2 linked regions of the Bombyx mori genome follow. The protein of the gene in region 2 interacts with the protein of the main gene of each other region in a pairwise test. Links are inferred from orthologs where the notes say so. Each region holds a gene or a part of one and is shown on either strand. Other genes may lie near its edges.

What was found.
Region 1: the proteins of golgin subfamily A member 2 (region 2) and NADH dehydrogenase [ubiquinone] 1 beta subcomplex subunit 9 interact in a two-hybrid assay, tested with the Drosophila melanogaster proteins (2 studies listed by BioGRID). The link is inferred for Bombyx mori from reciprocal best matches to the Drosophila melanogaster genes GM130 and ND-B22.

What each region holds. Positions count from the first base shown.
Region 1 is NC_085126.1:4,500,094-4,508,176, forward strand, and holds the start of NADH dehydrogenase [ubiquinone] 1 beta subcomplex subunit 9, read left to right. Parts: upstream 1-3,532; 5' UTR 3,533-3,812; exon of another isoform or gene 3,813-3,887; intron 3,888-4,249; exon of another isoform or gene 4,250-5,707; coding exon of another isoform or gene 5,708-5,950; intron 5,951-7,107; coding exon of another isoform or gene 7,108-7,224; intron 7,225-7,898; coding exon of another isoform or gene 7,899-8,083. Other genes in the region: retinaldehyde-binding protein 1, read right to left, coding at 5,708-5,950, 7,108-7,224, 7,899-8,083.
Region 2 is NC_085110.1:8,616,447-8,624,494, forward strand, and holds the start of golgin subfamily A member 2, read left to right. Parts: upstream 1-3,424; 5' UTR 3,425-3,638; coding exon 3,639-3,680; intron 3,681-3,895; coding exon 3,896-4,876; intron 4,877-5,828; coding exon 5,829-6,068; intron 6,069-7,089; coding exon 7,090-7,920; 3' UTR 7,921-8,048. Other genes in the region: phosphatidylserine synthase, read right to left, coding at 181-341.

The sequences.
Region 1 (8,083 bases), on a different chromosome or scaffold from region 2:
ACTGCTTTGTACATAAATGATAGGCAATAACCATATTCGATGCGCAAAAAATATATATTTCTAGGTCTATTAAAATCATTTCAATCCTACAGCTACTAGCTAGATTCTGCTACAGCTAGATTCGTTAAAATAAATTTTGTTTTCAGGTGTGTCAACTTTAAATTAGTCTACTGTAAAGTTCACGCATTGTCGCTTAGTCACATTTGCCTTTCAAACGTCTGCCTTTCAAATGCTACTATTTTTTTTTTTTTTCAGTGAAACATTTTTCTAATATTCAGTGAAACATTATCAATCAATTAAAATAAAAACATTAAATTGTACAAATATTATGTTTTTATTTAGATATAAATATTACAAAACTCAATTCCATCATACTTTGAATACTGCAACATTTATGCTTTGTATTAACTCAGAGACACATAAAGAAGTAATGAGTGAAAGTTATTCTTTTCACAGTGGTACAATAGTAAAATCAATACTGTACAGATGACTGTTCACACCAATTACATTTATTTACTCTTTTTGCATGATGCCATCATAGCATTTTGTAAGTTTTATTGCACTTTTGCAATGGATCATATGCTGTACTGTTATTTCATACACAAATAAATAAAAAAAATAGTAACATAGTAATAACACTTATTTATGCACATCTTGTGTACTGAGTAACCTTTAAGTTTAAAAAATGATAAAGAATAGTGTAACAAATTAAATATAAGAATCTATGTTTAGAATTTATATACTTAAAGTTAATTTGAACAGGTGTTGATATTGAATAGAAATAAATTTGCATAATGCATGTGTGTAATCTGTTTTAGGCAAGTAGACACCAATAACAAAACAGATCAAAAATGAATTACTTATAATGGATATTTATGAAATTAAAACAATTACACAATCACTGTTTTGGGAAACATTAAAGGATTTATAAAATGACTAAATAGCATTTATCATATGAGGCAAATTGTTGTGCTGCTGCATACTTTTTTAATTATTTACCTAGATAGGTCATAGAACTCAGAGCTCACACTGGAGTTAAATAGTTCGAAGAGCCCATAGACATTAACAAGCTGAACCATTAGTATTAGTCAATGATCTATGAATAGCTGATTGATTATTTTCTTATAGCACAAAATGACAATGTCATACACATAGGAATGTGTACACATGTTTAGTAAAGTTTAATATAATTAAAGTTGTTTTTTTTTTGGTACCTATTTGCTGATAGCCTTAGGGGCTATTCCAGCTTTTCACAGATGGCTATGCGAGCTCAAGGGCTCAACCTGAGAGAATTTGCTAACACTAGCTCTAGCAAGAGAAGTGCTTCGGAGAATCTACCACCAGATCGCAACCCACTGAGAAGATCCGGAGAGAAACTCAGTGGGCAGAGAGTTATGTAATTCTCTATTTTAATGTATATGTGTGGAAATTAATTTTAAACTTTTTGCTTTGAATGTTTGTTATAACCTCTCTTCATTTTACTTGACATTGAGGGGTGAAAGACTATTTGGTTTAAGCGAAGTTTTTGCAACTTTACTGGAGAGCCGTTTAAAATTTGGAAAAAATATCATTACAAAAAAAACTTCTTCAGCTATTTCAATGGAGTAAGCTTTATTGATGTTTAATTAATAACATCAAACTGTTGATGATAATACTGAATAAAACGCACCATTACGTACAAAGATAAATGTCGCATATTAATTGAAATGTCACTTAAACCAAACAGCCTTTCATCCCTCAATATAATCTACAGGTACCAAAACCCTACCAATTTCTACCCAGCAGCCACACATTCTTGTATAAAGACTGGAACACATTATATGAATGAGAGTTCGACCTCATGTCTCAAGATGAGTAGTGGTATTTACATTGTATGTCTATGGATTCTATTATCCACTTGACACCACTCACTTGAGACTTGGGCTCCAATCAGGCTCATCGTCATTTTCTGGGTACGGCTGAGTGTGAAAAAGATTAAACTGTAGCATCATACTCCGATGCGGACAAAAATTAAAATTAAGTTTTCCAGACAAACAAGCTTGAGATACTTTTGTCAACAATATTTGTTACTATTGTTTTTAGTATTTTTTATGGGATAAATGATGAGCTTGCGGACAGGTCTCTTTTTATTGAGCGGCTACTAGAGCCCATCAGACGGTCCAGACATCACATACATTGTTTAGTACAAGTACAAAAAAAAAAAATATCGTTTAGGCCCTGACAACTTGAAAATATAATGTAAATATCACAAAACAATAATTCTAATATTTTAAAGTAAATTTTCTTATTAGCAGGAGATTTCTGTAGCCTTGTGTTTTTAAAAATTAAGATGACAAGGTTTTTCATTTAGAAATCTTACAAAACCTATGAACCATATTCCAGAAAACCTATAACCATATCATTCCAGGTGAAGATGAGCTTAGAATAGTTATTATTTTCCTTCAAAAAGGACCGCCATTACAAAAGAAAACGTATTATTTTCTTTTTTTATTTAATTTATTATTCAATTTGTTTGTGAAAAAGGTCTAAATTTTTGTAAAGTTCTCAATTTCATCTTTTTAAATTAGTTTTTGAATGATTATCTCTCTAGAGATATGTAGAAATAAATTATAGCCAAAAAGGAAGTTAGCTATATGAATTGATAATTGCAATCTCAACAAACTTTTGTATAATATTGCCAAAGCTTGCACATTGTACAGAAAAATCATTAGCAGCATTCTTTAAAAATATCACTATTCAAATATTCTATTTTATTCATTCTTATTTATTCTTACAAGTTCATCAATAAATAGGAATTTAATTTTTACAGTTTTAGAATCATTGATATTAAAAATTTTATTAATTGAACTGGATACAGTGTATGCAGTGGGTAATACAATTAACCATTTCTTGTCACTATAGTATTCATTATTAAACATAAAAAAAAAACATGAAAATGTTTGTTTGAAAGTGAATTTTATATTGGTTATATTGTGGTAGATGTATTTTCTTCTAAACAAAATTATTGAATGTATTGATGAAAATTTGCTACATTTGCATCAAAATTGCAAAGTTAATCAAATTCATAACTTTTTTCTTGTTTAAATCCTTGATTTTGTTTACAAGTTAATGATAAACTTAGTGAATCAAGCCACAGGTCTATGAATGCCCCAATAGAGTTCTTATCAAACATCTTTATTGATTTTGATTTATCCACGACGAAAAACATTGCAAACGAAATCTAAATATTTAGGTTCGACTGATTTTCTAAAACAAACATAACGTTTGACGTTCTCGAGGAGGAAAAAACCGTCTTGATATGAAACACGGAGGTTTTGCTTTGGTATCATACTCGTGCTTCACTTTTCGCTTGCAAAAGGATTAGGTACGAACGAATTAAAGCAGTTTTCACACCCAAATAACATAACTGCATATTTATAGGTTAAAATATAATATTCATAACAAAATAAACAAAATTCATACAATCTATTTGAGGATTACCGTTTTGTAACAGAAACTAAAACATACAATTACCATTATTCCTGAAATACTCACAACAAGTCATAGACGTGGGCCTGCGTTCACGTCCCGATGTTTACTATAACACACCTTACACAATCTCCGAAAAATAAATCACTAAAATAACATAATCGTGTTATTAAAACGTCACTGGAGTAAAAATCATTAGGAAATTCGAATGTCCTATTGATCTAAATACATAGAAATTTCTCTTGTAATATTTTTTCAATCTGTGTGGACGCCAAACTGCGGGAAAAACTACAGTGAAGTTAGCTATCGATAGTGCCGCATTTCAAGGTCATCTTAAATTTATGGTACGTGTACGTGTCTATGCTTAAATGCAAAGATATTTTTTAAAGATTGTATGATCTGGTATTAAGGCCTTTAAGGTAAGTCTTTTGTTTTCTTCGTCCATTTTATTTTATATAATTATATCATTGACATTGAATAAATTTTTTTTAAGAAAAACTAATAATTACTAATAGATGCTACTACTGGTTGCACATATTTGAATTAGACATTTGTATCATATTTTTTTATGTCTGCTGCAGAAGTTGTAGCCATTAAAATCGTAAATGTCATTGGTTCAGTGAGCTTATAATATCTCCGTCCTTTAGTAATATCTACAATCCTTTGTATACCTCTCAGATAAATATATTAGTTTGGTATACCTTAGCATGATGACTACATCATGTGACGTACACACGATTTTGAACAACGGATAGGACTGCTTAAAAAGAAACACACCTAGTACATAATTTAAGTACTTTTATTATTTGAACAGCGTAATATGGAACTAAAACTAAGCTTAAATTGAATTACCAGACAGCAGTGTAACAATTATTCGTACATTAGATTTTTCCAGGGATTTTGTTTAATTATCGTCATATTAGCTGTTTGAAATTTAAACTAGTAACATAATTATTTATACCGGAATATTAGTAATAGTGATGTAGTTTTCTTTTCTTCTTCAGATTGCCATTTTAATTTATTGGTAACGTGACACCACCGACGGCTGTCACCAGTCACTACACTACACTGTATAGTAAAAAGAAAGCAAGAAAAATAGGTATTAAATCAGAAGTCATACGTAATTTCACCTATTTTTCTAGTTAAGTATTAAAACAATGTGGTCTAGTTTGTTTTTTTGTTCAATTTTCTATACATTTGTGCGTTATTAATCCGACAAAATAAAAGTTAAGTAAGTTAATTGCATATTTAGCAACGCAGAGGTTTCTGGCAAGATACTATTTACGTATGACAGATGGCGTGCTAGTATTCCTAACAAATATTAAACAATTAATGTTCTAATCGCATTTAATTCAAAATTTTGCGAGTCACACCAAAATGTAGCCAGAATAAGCTTATCTACTATTCACATCAAAATTAATTATAATCATGTATTTAGTTACATATAAAACGAGATCTGGATTTTAAAAAAAAACGAATTATTGTAAAAGTAATCTTATTTTAAAGAGATTAGGATTATTAGTGATCCTTAAACATTAACTTACAAGAAATTGTCATGAACTTAACAACGTATTCCTAGGGATATTCCGATACTAGTAAATACGAGTAAGTACTCGATACTTTTGATTCGATACCAAGTATTTCTAGTATCGAATCAATCTTGCGATACATACTCGGTATCGAAACAAAAGTACTTGGTATCAAATCGAATCAGCATTACCATTAAAAAAGTTTAAAATTTCCGAACGCATTATAGAGAACGAGAGAGTAAAAGCCCACTCGCTCGGTTACCGGTATTCATCCATCGCGTAGCGGCGCGGCGACGCGACGGCGCGGTGTGGATGAGGCGTGCCTTTTTTCCAAAGCCGGTGCAATAATGTCTCAAACAAGCTTCGATCAACTATAGTAACCAAACAAGGAACAGATTGTCTCCAAAATACCTCGAACAGTTACTGATTTTGGGCAATCTTGATGCCAAAGAGTTTTTTGTTTAAAGTAAGTACTTAAAGTAGGTGCTAAAAGTATAGATATCAGTAAGTATCGATACTTTAGGAGTATTCATATAAGTAGTATCGAATAAAGATTTGAGTACTATCGAAATGAGTAGGTATCGATACTTTGATGGTATCGGAACATCCCTATGTATTCCCAAAAAATTACTACGAAACTGTATTCTATCACAGAACTGTAAAGATATAGTAAAATATTTAAAACAATAGTAATTATGTTAATCCGATATTTAATCCAATTCAAGTTTACGGAACGATCCGGCGGTTGAATGAATGTCTTGTGTCAAATCATTTTTTTCTAGTGCATACAAATCGATGCACATGTCATCCAAGGCCAGTAGCTCCTCTCTTTGCTTCAATAAATTACGTTTCAGTTCTTCAATCATATCTTTTAGTGGGACTGTACCGCCATATTCTTTTGGCAAAATGGCAGGGTCAACGTATTTTGTTAGGTCACTACTCGTACGATGGAACTGTAAACAAACAATTAGAATAGGTATATAAAAATCAGGTACTCCCTAATTATACGTAATTTGAAAAAATAGTACATTGTGCACCAAGGAAGAAAACTAGGACATTTCCTCCCGCGTGTAAAATTGCCAACACTACTTTTTTCTCCTACCAGGCCGAAAGTTCGTGGAGTACCGAGTCGGGGTCCAGGGGCGAAGCCCCGGTGGGGTCCAGGGCAGGGGGTAGGGGGGGCGGAGCCACCCCATACTCATAAAAAAACAATATAACTGCAAATTTTATTGCCTTTTGTTTATTTCACTTTTACACTAAACACAATATTGCAAATTACCCGAGCACAACAATGGCGGAGAATTTTAGGTGCGTGAGAGCAGACGTAGACACTAACGCGCATGTGCACTTGTCAGTACTCAGGGAGGAAAAGTTAAACTTTCTTCCCTGTACAGCGGGAGGAAAACCGAACTTTCGGCGTAGGTAGGAGAAAAAAAGTCATATTTTTTGTCTTGAAAGTAGTTCGCTTCAAAGTTTATTATGAAAAATAGACTGTCAGCGCTTGTTAAATAGATACGATAAACATAAAAAGTGCTTTACGCTAATCTATTTTCCCAAACTTATTCAACTCGTTCCCACGAACTTATTAAAGGCAGTAAATACAGATTGAGAAATTCAGTTTTGTCTAATATATACTTCCTTGTATTATTATTACAAACAAAAAAAAATTCTTAGGTCATTTTTTCTAAATTATCTAGTGTTATTACATGTTGGGACGTAAGCTGCGCAGGCCTATTTTTACATATGAAATGGCAATTTCTGCTGCAAGCCATTCATGGTGTGACAATTAAGAAAAAAATAGCTGCTATTTCAATGCAATTGAGACTTCCACTACTTATTTGAGTAGGTCAGCGGAAGTCAGGTTGTGATCTATGGTCTCATCTATGCGTAGAGAAGCCATCCGCTGTCTATCTATGCACACAAAAAGGCTCCCTTTTGACATAAACTACTAAAAGATTTTTAATTATAAGTTATAACTCTAAGAACTGTAAGAACTCACTAACATAGATAATACACTTATATTTGAGACTCACTAAGTTCAGACAGTTCGAAACTTAAACTACTCATTGGCTGTTTATATGATGTTTTATAAGCTATAAAATTGTCTTACCATAACACGGTCTTTCAGTTTATCACTCAACAACGAAACTGCAAATTCGAAAAATCTGACTCCATAATGCGGTATGTTCACAAAATGTGTCCTCTTGTGCCTCATCGGTGTTGAATTCTATAACAAATTAATTCCGATTATTAAACAGTTTTGGTAATATTTTTTACTGGTGGTAGGACCTCTTGTTAGTCCGCACGGGTAGGTAGGTACCACCGCCCTGCCTATTTCTGCCGTGAAACAGTAATGCATTTCGGTTTTAAGAGTGGGGCAGCCGTTGTAGCCTTAGAACTTATAGTTCAAGGTGCGTGCCGCATTTACGTTTTGGGGGTCTATGGGCTCTAGTAATCACTTAACACCAGGTGGGCTGTGAGCTTGTCCATCCATCTAGGCAAAAAAAAAAAAAGTTAAAAGTTAACTACAAAATTTTTGAAGAAAAAAAAAATTTGTTAGGCGTACAGTAATATTTGTATTCAATTAATCATGAATGTTTATACAGTAAAGAGGTCTAGTCAAAGATTAGCATAATAAATAAACCTTTATTTTTTATTTTTTAATGCGCTTATTCTTTTTTTTCTGTATAAGTCTTCATGTGCATGATTACATATATAACTATGCTGTAGTGACTATTCCTATAGCGATTTTTAACGATAATAGGTACTCAAGGATGATTGCATATCGGATTTTTTTTCTAATTTATTTTGAAATTATACTTGGGAATTTTTAAAAAGTGATAAAAAAAATATATGGCGTTTCTAAATTTTCGGTACAAAAACACATTATATTCAACATACCTGAATGCAATTAAGCATTATCCTGACATCGGTGAGAGACCAAAGACTAATGTGAGGCATTTGCATGCCGGCTTCGTCATTAACATGAGTGTAGCCGAGAAGTTGGGAGCGTGGCTCGTCGAGGAGGTGTTCCACAATCATTGAATGAACTCGGGCCATTACACAACTGTCGTATAAGTGAGGAT
Region 2 (8,048 bases):
TCCATTGATTAAGAATACTATAATTTACAATTAATCGTATTTATATTTTAGAGAGAATTTTATTTGTTACTCTTTTTAGTATTTTTTATTTATAAGGTTATAGTCGTTTTCTTAGTGGATTACATCACTTAACATATATTTATTATCTTTAGTAAATTACGAAAAAACAATCGGACATACCTGACAAATGCTGTATAAATAACTGAAGCAATCGAAACAGCTAATAACGTTATAGTATGAGGTTTGTAGAAAAATTCCAGTGAAATATCATCCACCGGTCTTTCATTTATTGAACTGAAAGCGTCCGCATGTTCATTTGATAAGGTAGTTGTACTTCCCATTGCTTACTCTTTATGCAGAAGGTTAATGAGTAATTCGATTTATTTCATTACTTTTTTATATCGAGCTTCTCTTGTCAACGACCGTACATCAGGAGGACGACGATTATAGTGTATTAGAGGGGGGAAATGGGGGAATGGTACTCCCTTACCAGCATAGATTATACACTTAATATATTTGAGCTTACCAGCGTGACCAGATTTGATTTGACAAATCTACTGCTAGTGGAGGTTAAAATTTACTGAATTCTACCAAAAGAGAACGAGAACTACTAAAAATCTGTCGTGTTACAACGTACAAAAATGAATATTTCCTTGATTAAACAATAAAATAATAAAAATAACAAAGAATCCACCATTAATTCAAGATATCTGTTGGACGGTTAAATTTGAGGGGATGGGTTCTGTAGGTGATGAGGGACTATTTAAAAACAGACTGCTTCATTATAATTGAGTCGTCTATTATCAAAGGTGGCAATCTGTGCATTTGGACAAAAAAATGTTATTCATATGTCAATACAGATTGATTTGAATATAATCGTCTCCTTCAAAGAATACTGTTCAAAACCTGCATTAAATAAAGGTTAATAGTTAACCTGTTATTTATCTAAGATGTCGTTCCGAAGAGTTTTGTGACTGCCAATGGAATACAAAGTCAATAATTCGTTTTTCTGATTTACCAATAATTATCCAAAAGTCAGATTGCCGGCTTTGATAATAGTCGACTCAATTATAGTGCAGATAGTTTGAACACTGTTACACCATTATAAAATTATTATCTTTATATTTTTATAAAACTCTTACATATTTCTTTGACCGTGTCTAGATGAGAAGTCCTGACTTTTTCTTACACCGGTCACTCACATTCACACGAATACGCAAACCCGCAAGTGTAGGACGACATTTGCAAATGATTATGCAAAGTTTTCGCTGCATTCGTGGTTTTCCAAGCTGTGTCGGTTTTTTAACAGACATCAAAGCGCGCGAACCGCGATCCTTCGCGTAGTCTCCCACGCATTCGTGTGACCAGTTGCGCCCAGGATTGCGAAGACAACGGACGTTTCGCTATTTTCATAGATCGTGACGTCTACCGTGTAGCGTATCTTCATCAAAAGAAATCCCATAAAAACATCATGGCTATTAATGATGTCTGGGAAATAATTCAAAACTCTTTTTCTCTTCAATGTTTTATTGACGAAAAGGAGGAGGAGAAATTCGTGAGACATTCGTAAACAAGTGTAGGAGGAAGCGCAAACGGGTTCGCAAATTGAGTACCGAACCCATTTGCTCAGCCGCTAAGTTTGCGAATGAATGTTTGTCGGCCCTACAATGTACGAATATTTGCGCGCATCTGAGTGACCGGCATTACGAGAATACAATCATTTGCTTTTTAAACATTTAAAATAATTGTAATATGTATTCGAAATCTGTAATCATGTTTCAAGTGTTGCTGGCCATTACATTTATATTCAAACTCCAACAATATCAAAGTTCTTTTTTTTAAATTAAATTCTAAATAATAATAAAAAAAAAAAATTAAATGAAACTTAAACTTAAAATTCTGCGTCTTTATGTTGGCTAACATTTTCATAAAGTTGTTTTGAATCCATTAACTTGATAATACTTCTGTCAGGATCAAATGTGCGACATCCTCCTTTCAACTGTCGTAGCCCCTCTTTTCCATGCATTATTGCAGCAACATTCTTATTATTAAATAAATTTCGATCTTGATTTTTAATCTTATTAATATTAGAAATTATTCTTTCTACTTTGGCGTTTGACAAGGGTAGTATAGTCATTTGCTTCACAAATCGGGACAAATTGCCATACCTTGGCTTGCTATTCGCATCACAGATTTCGCTGACTTCACTCCAAAATGTATCCACCATATAAGATTCAGACGTCGAACTGGAAGTTGACAATAAATTAGACACGGAAACATCTAATTTTAATATATTCTTTGTCAACAATTTGCATGTTTTCTGTTACAACTACAAGGATATCGTGATGAGTGGGACATCGCGATATCCTTGTATATATTTATGTTTCATTTTAAGCTCAATTATAAAAATTCTCATTGAAGGAATTCCCACTAGTCTATCACACTATGCTCACGGCACGAATGGTAAGAAAAGAATGAAAATTAAATAGTTACAATCCATTCGATGAAAGAGGGAATACCCCGAATTTATCCAAAATGCCAAAAAAGTACTAGAATAACTGAAAAGCGTGAATTCTACTAAAATATACCAAATAATTTTTACATACTAAATTCTGTTGCCGGTACCTCAAAATCTACCAAAAAAGTAGAAATCTACTAAATCTGGTCACGCTGTCCCTTACGGTCATAGATAAGACCTTCAAGAACATAGACCTTGATTGTGAGCGCTCCTCATGTACAACATACACAACGGGCCGAAGAGTTATTACCCAAGTATTATCCACAATACAATAAACATATTATTGATTGTTATCCCCGAGTTTTTTTAATGATACCTAAAAACAGGCAAATCTTAACAAAAAACAATAACTATAGAGAACAGCTAAGCGCTTACTTAACGAACTTTACTGGATTAAGCTTGAGTGAAACTTTGTTTTTTTTATGAAAACCTCGATGTGGTGATATCTCTACAAAGGTTCTATCTTCAAATACAGAATGCGAAAGATTGTTCAACTCACAATAGAAACAAGCTGACTAAAGAAACCCTTAACGGAATACTTGTTACTAAGTCAGGAATTCTAGCTAACAACTGCTTTTTTGGTGTCTACTAGTGCGATATTCAGTACCGCGAAAATGCGCAATATTGTATTGGCCTTTGACTGTTCTAAATATGTACTTGACTGTTAGTTTGATTTTTGGTAATAAAATATGCAAAGGAATGTTTTTTTTATACTTGTTCGCCCTAAGTGAAGGAATTTTCAAAAGAGATTTTATGTATAGTTTCTGGGAAATTTAGGGTAAAATAAAAATTTTAAAAGTATCAGATAGTACCGTACCTCCCTAGTCATAGATTCAGAGTATTGAGAGTATTGCCTACGCTGCAATTCTCAAATATATTAATTCTCGAATATATTAAGTGTATAATCTATGATATTAAGGGTATAATCTATGACTGCCATACTCTGCATTCCGATTTAAAATACGTGGAGGTTTTCGTTGGGCGCAAATAAATTTTATGAATTTATTCATAGCCATTACCTACATTAAGTTGTGTATATACGTTGAGAAAATATTTAGTGTACTATGTTTTGAGATACCTAGCCTCTAACTCTAGAGGCGTCTCCTTTCCAATTAAAACGATGGATGCCAGAGCTGCTAAATTAGAACTTGCTCGCAAAAAGGTATTTAGGTATATCATAGAAAATAATTAGTATTAATTCCCTGGCCCAAAAGCTTAAAATATGACATAGGTAATATTTTGTAAAATACGATAAAGGCACTAATGGTTGTTTTGTTGAACAACAATACGATAATAAGAATAAATACATAACTTAAATAGTAATTTATTACATGAATAGTGATTATTGAATGTTTTATTTATATTTTTAAATTACAGTTGAGAGAACATCAAGAACAAAAACTAGGAAATGTTCAGAAAGAAACATGTCTGAAAACGAATGATCAAAATCATTCGCCACCTCAATTAGCTTCTGAAGTCAATGATTTTGACTCGTCTCCTCAGCAAAAGCAAAAAAATAGTGAAAACAATAATATTTTAGAGGAGAACTACGATAATAAGCTGCTTGAAAATACACTCAGTGCAACAGAAATTCTCATTTGTAATGAGAGAAAACTTGAAACGCAAGTCAGTGAGCTGCAATCAAAATTATCAGAGCTAGAACAGAAATATACTGATGCTGTAAAATTAATTAATCAATCTAATCAATCATTCCATAATTTGCAAAATGAAACCAAAACTTTACAAAACAATAGTTTGTTGTTGACTAATGAGTTGCTGATCAAAGATAACAAAATACAAGAATTAGAAAAGAGTAATTCCAGTCTCTCAGATGAAATTAATAATTTACAAGAACAACTGGAATTTACCAAAACAATGCTTACTGCTAAAGAAACAGAAAATAGTTCTCTCAATAGTCAATTATTCAACCTTCAAAATCAGCTTGATTCAACTCAGCTACAACTGCAGCAGCTTACGAATGGGGCTTATGCTTCTACTTCTGATGGGAGAAACACTAATGTTGAATCAAATGAGAGCTTAAAGCAAAAAAATTCTAGTTTAGAACAACAGTTAAAAACTCTACAAAAAGAAAAAGATAATATTCATACACATTATCAACATTATGTTATTGAATTAAATGAACATTTAAAAAATATGGTTTCACAAAATGAAAGTCTTGCTGGAGAGGTTGAGCGTTTATCTAACAGAGAAACTAGTCTTGTTGATCAGATAAGCGATTTGGAAATAAGATTGCAGAATTATAGTTCATACCGCACCCAAGTTACTGAAACATCAACATCTCGTAATAATAACAGTGATGACTTTAAAGAATTACAAAACAAATATGAAGAAACTAGTGTAAGTTACATTAATAATAAGACAACAAAATCTAGCTTATTCAGAAACTTCAGAATGTACATTCCAGCCATGATGGAAGTTTTTTTACACATGAAAATACCCTAATTAAGTACATGAATAGTTCTGAAATTTGTTTAGGAACCTATACTGTCATATATGCCTAAAATTTCAGTAAACCAGTCTTCCGAGTGGAGACATGCAATCAAAATTATGCTGCTAAGAATGTGAGAAAACACAAGAATTGGACTATCTACAGCTTCAGAGATAGTCAAACTGCGCTCAAAGCACTAACAGCCCTTAAGGCTAAACTTAGGGTTTTATACATTTATTGCATAGGTGGATCAAAGTGCTCATGGGCCATCTGGTGTTTAGTGATTACCGCCTATAGACATCAGAATTTGAATGCCGACACCCTTAAGACATGAGATCTAAGTCAGAATTGTATAGAATAATGGCTGTGCCATCCTTCAAATTGGAACGCTAAATTACTTCATGGCAAAAATAGGTCGATTGGTTGATTGTACCTACCGATACGGGCTCATATGACTCCTATTAACAGTAAAGTTTGATAGCCACAAGAGCTCACATTGAGCAAATAAAGTGCAATAGCATCAATTTAGTCTGACCATCTTGGTATCGAGTCCAATTAAAAGTCCGATGAACTAGCTAAAAATCGCTCTAAAAGAGCAGTGGTTGTCTGAAATTCATGTAATTGTTCCAACACAAATGGTTTATGGGTTACTGACACAAAGCACTAAAAAGTAAATGTTTGAGTGGAGGAGCATTTCTACTAAGGTACAATGAATACTTAAATAGAACAAATACAGACAAAACCAACAAGTCTTGAAAATATCTACTCAGTTAACTCTGCCCATTTTTTCAAGATTTGATAAAAAATTTGGCAACCCAGTAATTTATTATTAGTACATTAATTAGACACTTGGTGTTACAGAAAAAACTCTGTGAATTGAGTAATAAATATGAACAACTAGAAACATTAAATAATGAAAACATTGCAAAAATTAAAGATTTAGAAAAAAACAAAGATTCTGAAGCGAAGCTTGAGGAAATAAGTCTATCCAAATTGAATGCGGACATAGCTAGTGACAAAATAGCTGCTCAAAAAGCCACCGAGCAAAACAAAATACTGAAACAGGACATGCAGAATTTAGAGGATGCATTTGTTAAAATGGTATAGCAGCTTCATTTATAAATCAATAAGTAAAATAATAATCAGCAATTTCTAAAATCACATTAGATATCATTTTATTGTTTGCTTAATTGGTGATGTTTCGTGAAGCTAGAATATCCCGAGGTTACTAGCAGTAGGAAAAAAAATTGTAGAAAAAATTGGCATTGGTGTTCATAACATTTAGTACTAACATTGCATGTACTAACTGTACATTTCTGCCTAACAAACGAAACAACCTTGGAGTTTCAATTTGAAAACTAGTGCAAACATTAGACAGTAAAAATGCTACATTGAGCTAATATCCCAAGGTGGGTGGCTGTGTCTGCCCATTCAAGGGTAAGTGTTTACCGATGTCTGTAAATATCAGACACTATTTGGATGTAAGATTGTTTGTAAACTAGATGTATATTTTATTATATTTGTAGTTGAAAAGTAATGAGACACTTGGAAAATGGATTAATATACCATTATAGTTTAACAAATTAATTTAGTACAGAGAACTAATTACTTTTTGAAACATTGCAGTTTTTTTTCATTTTAGTTTTTAGGTTGTTTTGTGAATCTTTTCTTATTACTTATTTTACTTATTATGATATGTTTTGGATATATTTATAATTTCGGTGATTAATTAATTTGTGATGAGAGTAAAGAAGAGCAATGGAGAGGGCTATGCTCGGAGTTTCCTTACGAAATCAAATCAGTAATGAGGAAATTCGCAGGAAAACCATGGTAGAAGAATTGCGACGTTGAAGTGGCAGTGGGCAGGGCGCGTTTCTCGTAGAACGGATGACTGTTGGGGCTGGAAAGTTGTAGGTGTTGTATGTTGTAGTGGGTAGACCGAAGATGGAACAACGACCTATTGTGGTTCGCGGGGATCCGCAGGATGCAAGCAGCGCAGGACCGATCTTTGTGGAGAGACTTGGGGTGACCTATGTCCAGCGGTGGACGTCTGTGGGCTGATAGAATAGAATAGAGGGTAAACAAGTACGTAAAATTTAAAACTTTTTGTGCATATTTACAGAGTAAAGACAAGTTAGAGTTAACAGAAAAATTGAGCGCTGAAAAATTTTTGAATCGCGAACTTACAATAAAATTAGCAGATGCAGAGGAGAAAGCAAAAGATATGTTAATTAAATTAAAAGCCAAAGATAGTGAAATGATAAGACTACAGTCAAGTTATAGGGAGATGGAAATAAACTTAAGAAACGCCGCAAAAAGTAATGAGTCTGCTAACGACGATATATCTAACGAAATTTCGGAATGCGAAAAACCGTTAGATAGTAAAATAGATTGTCTACGAACTGATGATACTGAGATATGTTTGAATCAAAATGATGTATGCAAACACGAAGTATTGGTTGATAATGGCAAAAAACCTGATATTTTAATCGCAAAGGACGATGCAATGAAGAAACTACAGGAACGTTTTTTAAAAATAATGAATGATGTTGCCGATTTATCTGATGAAAAGCATCGGCTTGAGCATATAATTTTACAATTGCAAAATGAAACCGATACTATTTGTGAATACGTAGCTTTATATCAGCAACAACGCAGCTTATTAAAAAGACGAGACGAAGAGCGAAGTATTCAGTTAAATATGTTTGAAACGGAATGTAGTAAACTTAAAAGACAGCTGGAAGAATTGACTGCTATCCTCGTAAAACTGTCTGAAGATGAAGACATCTCTTCTTGCTTACAAAAACACTCCAAGAATATTGAAATCGAGCAAATAATGAAACTCCTCACAAACTTGAACAATAATTCTTTAATCGATCCCATGAAGAAAAGTATTGATTTCAAAGATTTTTATCCTTGCAGTTGTTGTTCTGGAAAACTTATGGAAATATAATATATTTCTTTAAACTTACGTAATAAAAGTCATTGTTAAAATAATCTAAATGTAATAATATGTAATGGTATCTTAATATATGTCTTAGCCTTTAGATGACAAAAATAAAATCACTAAAATCTAATAAA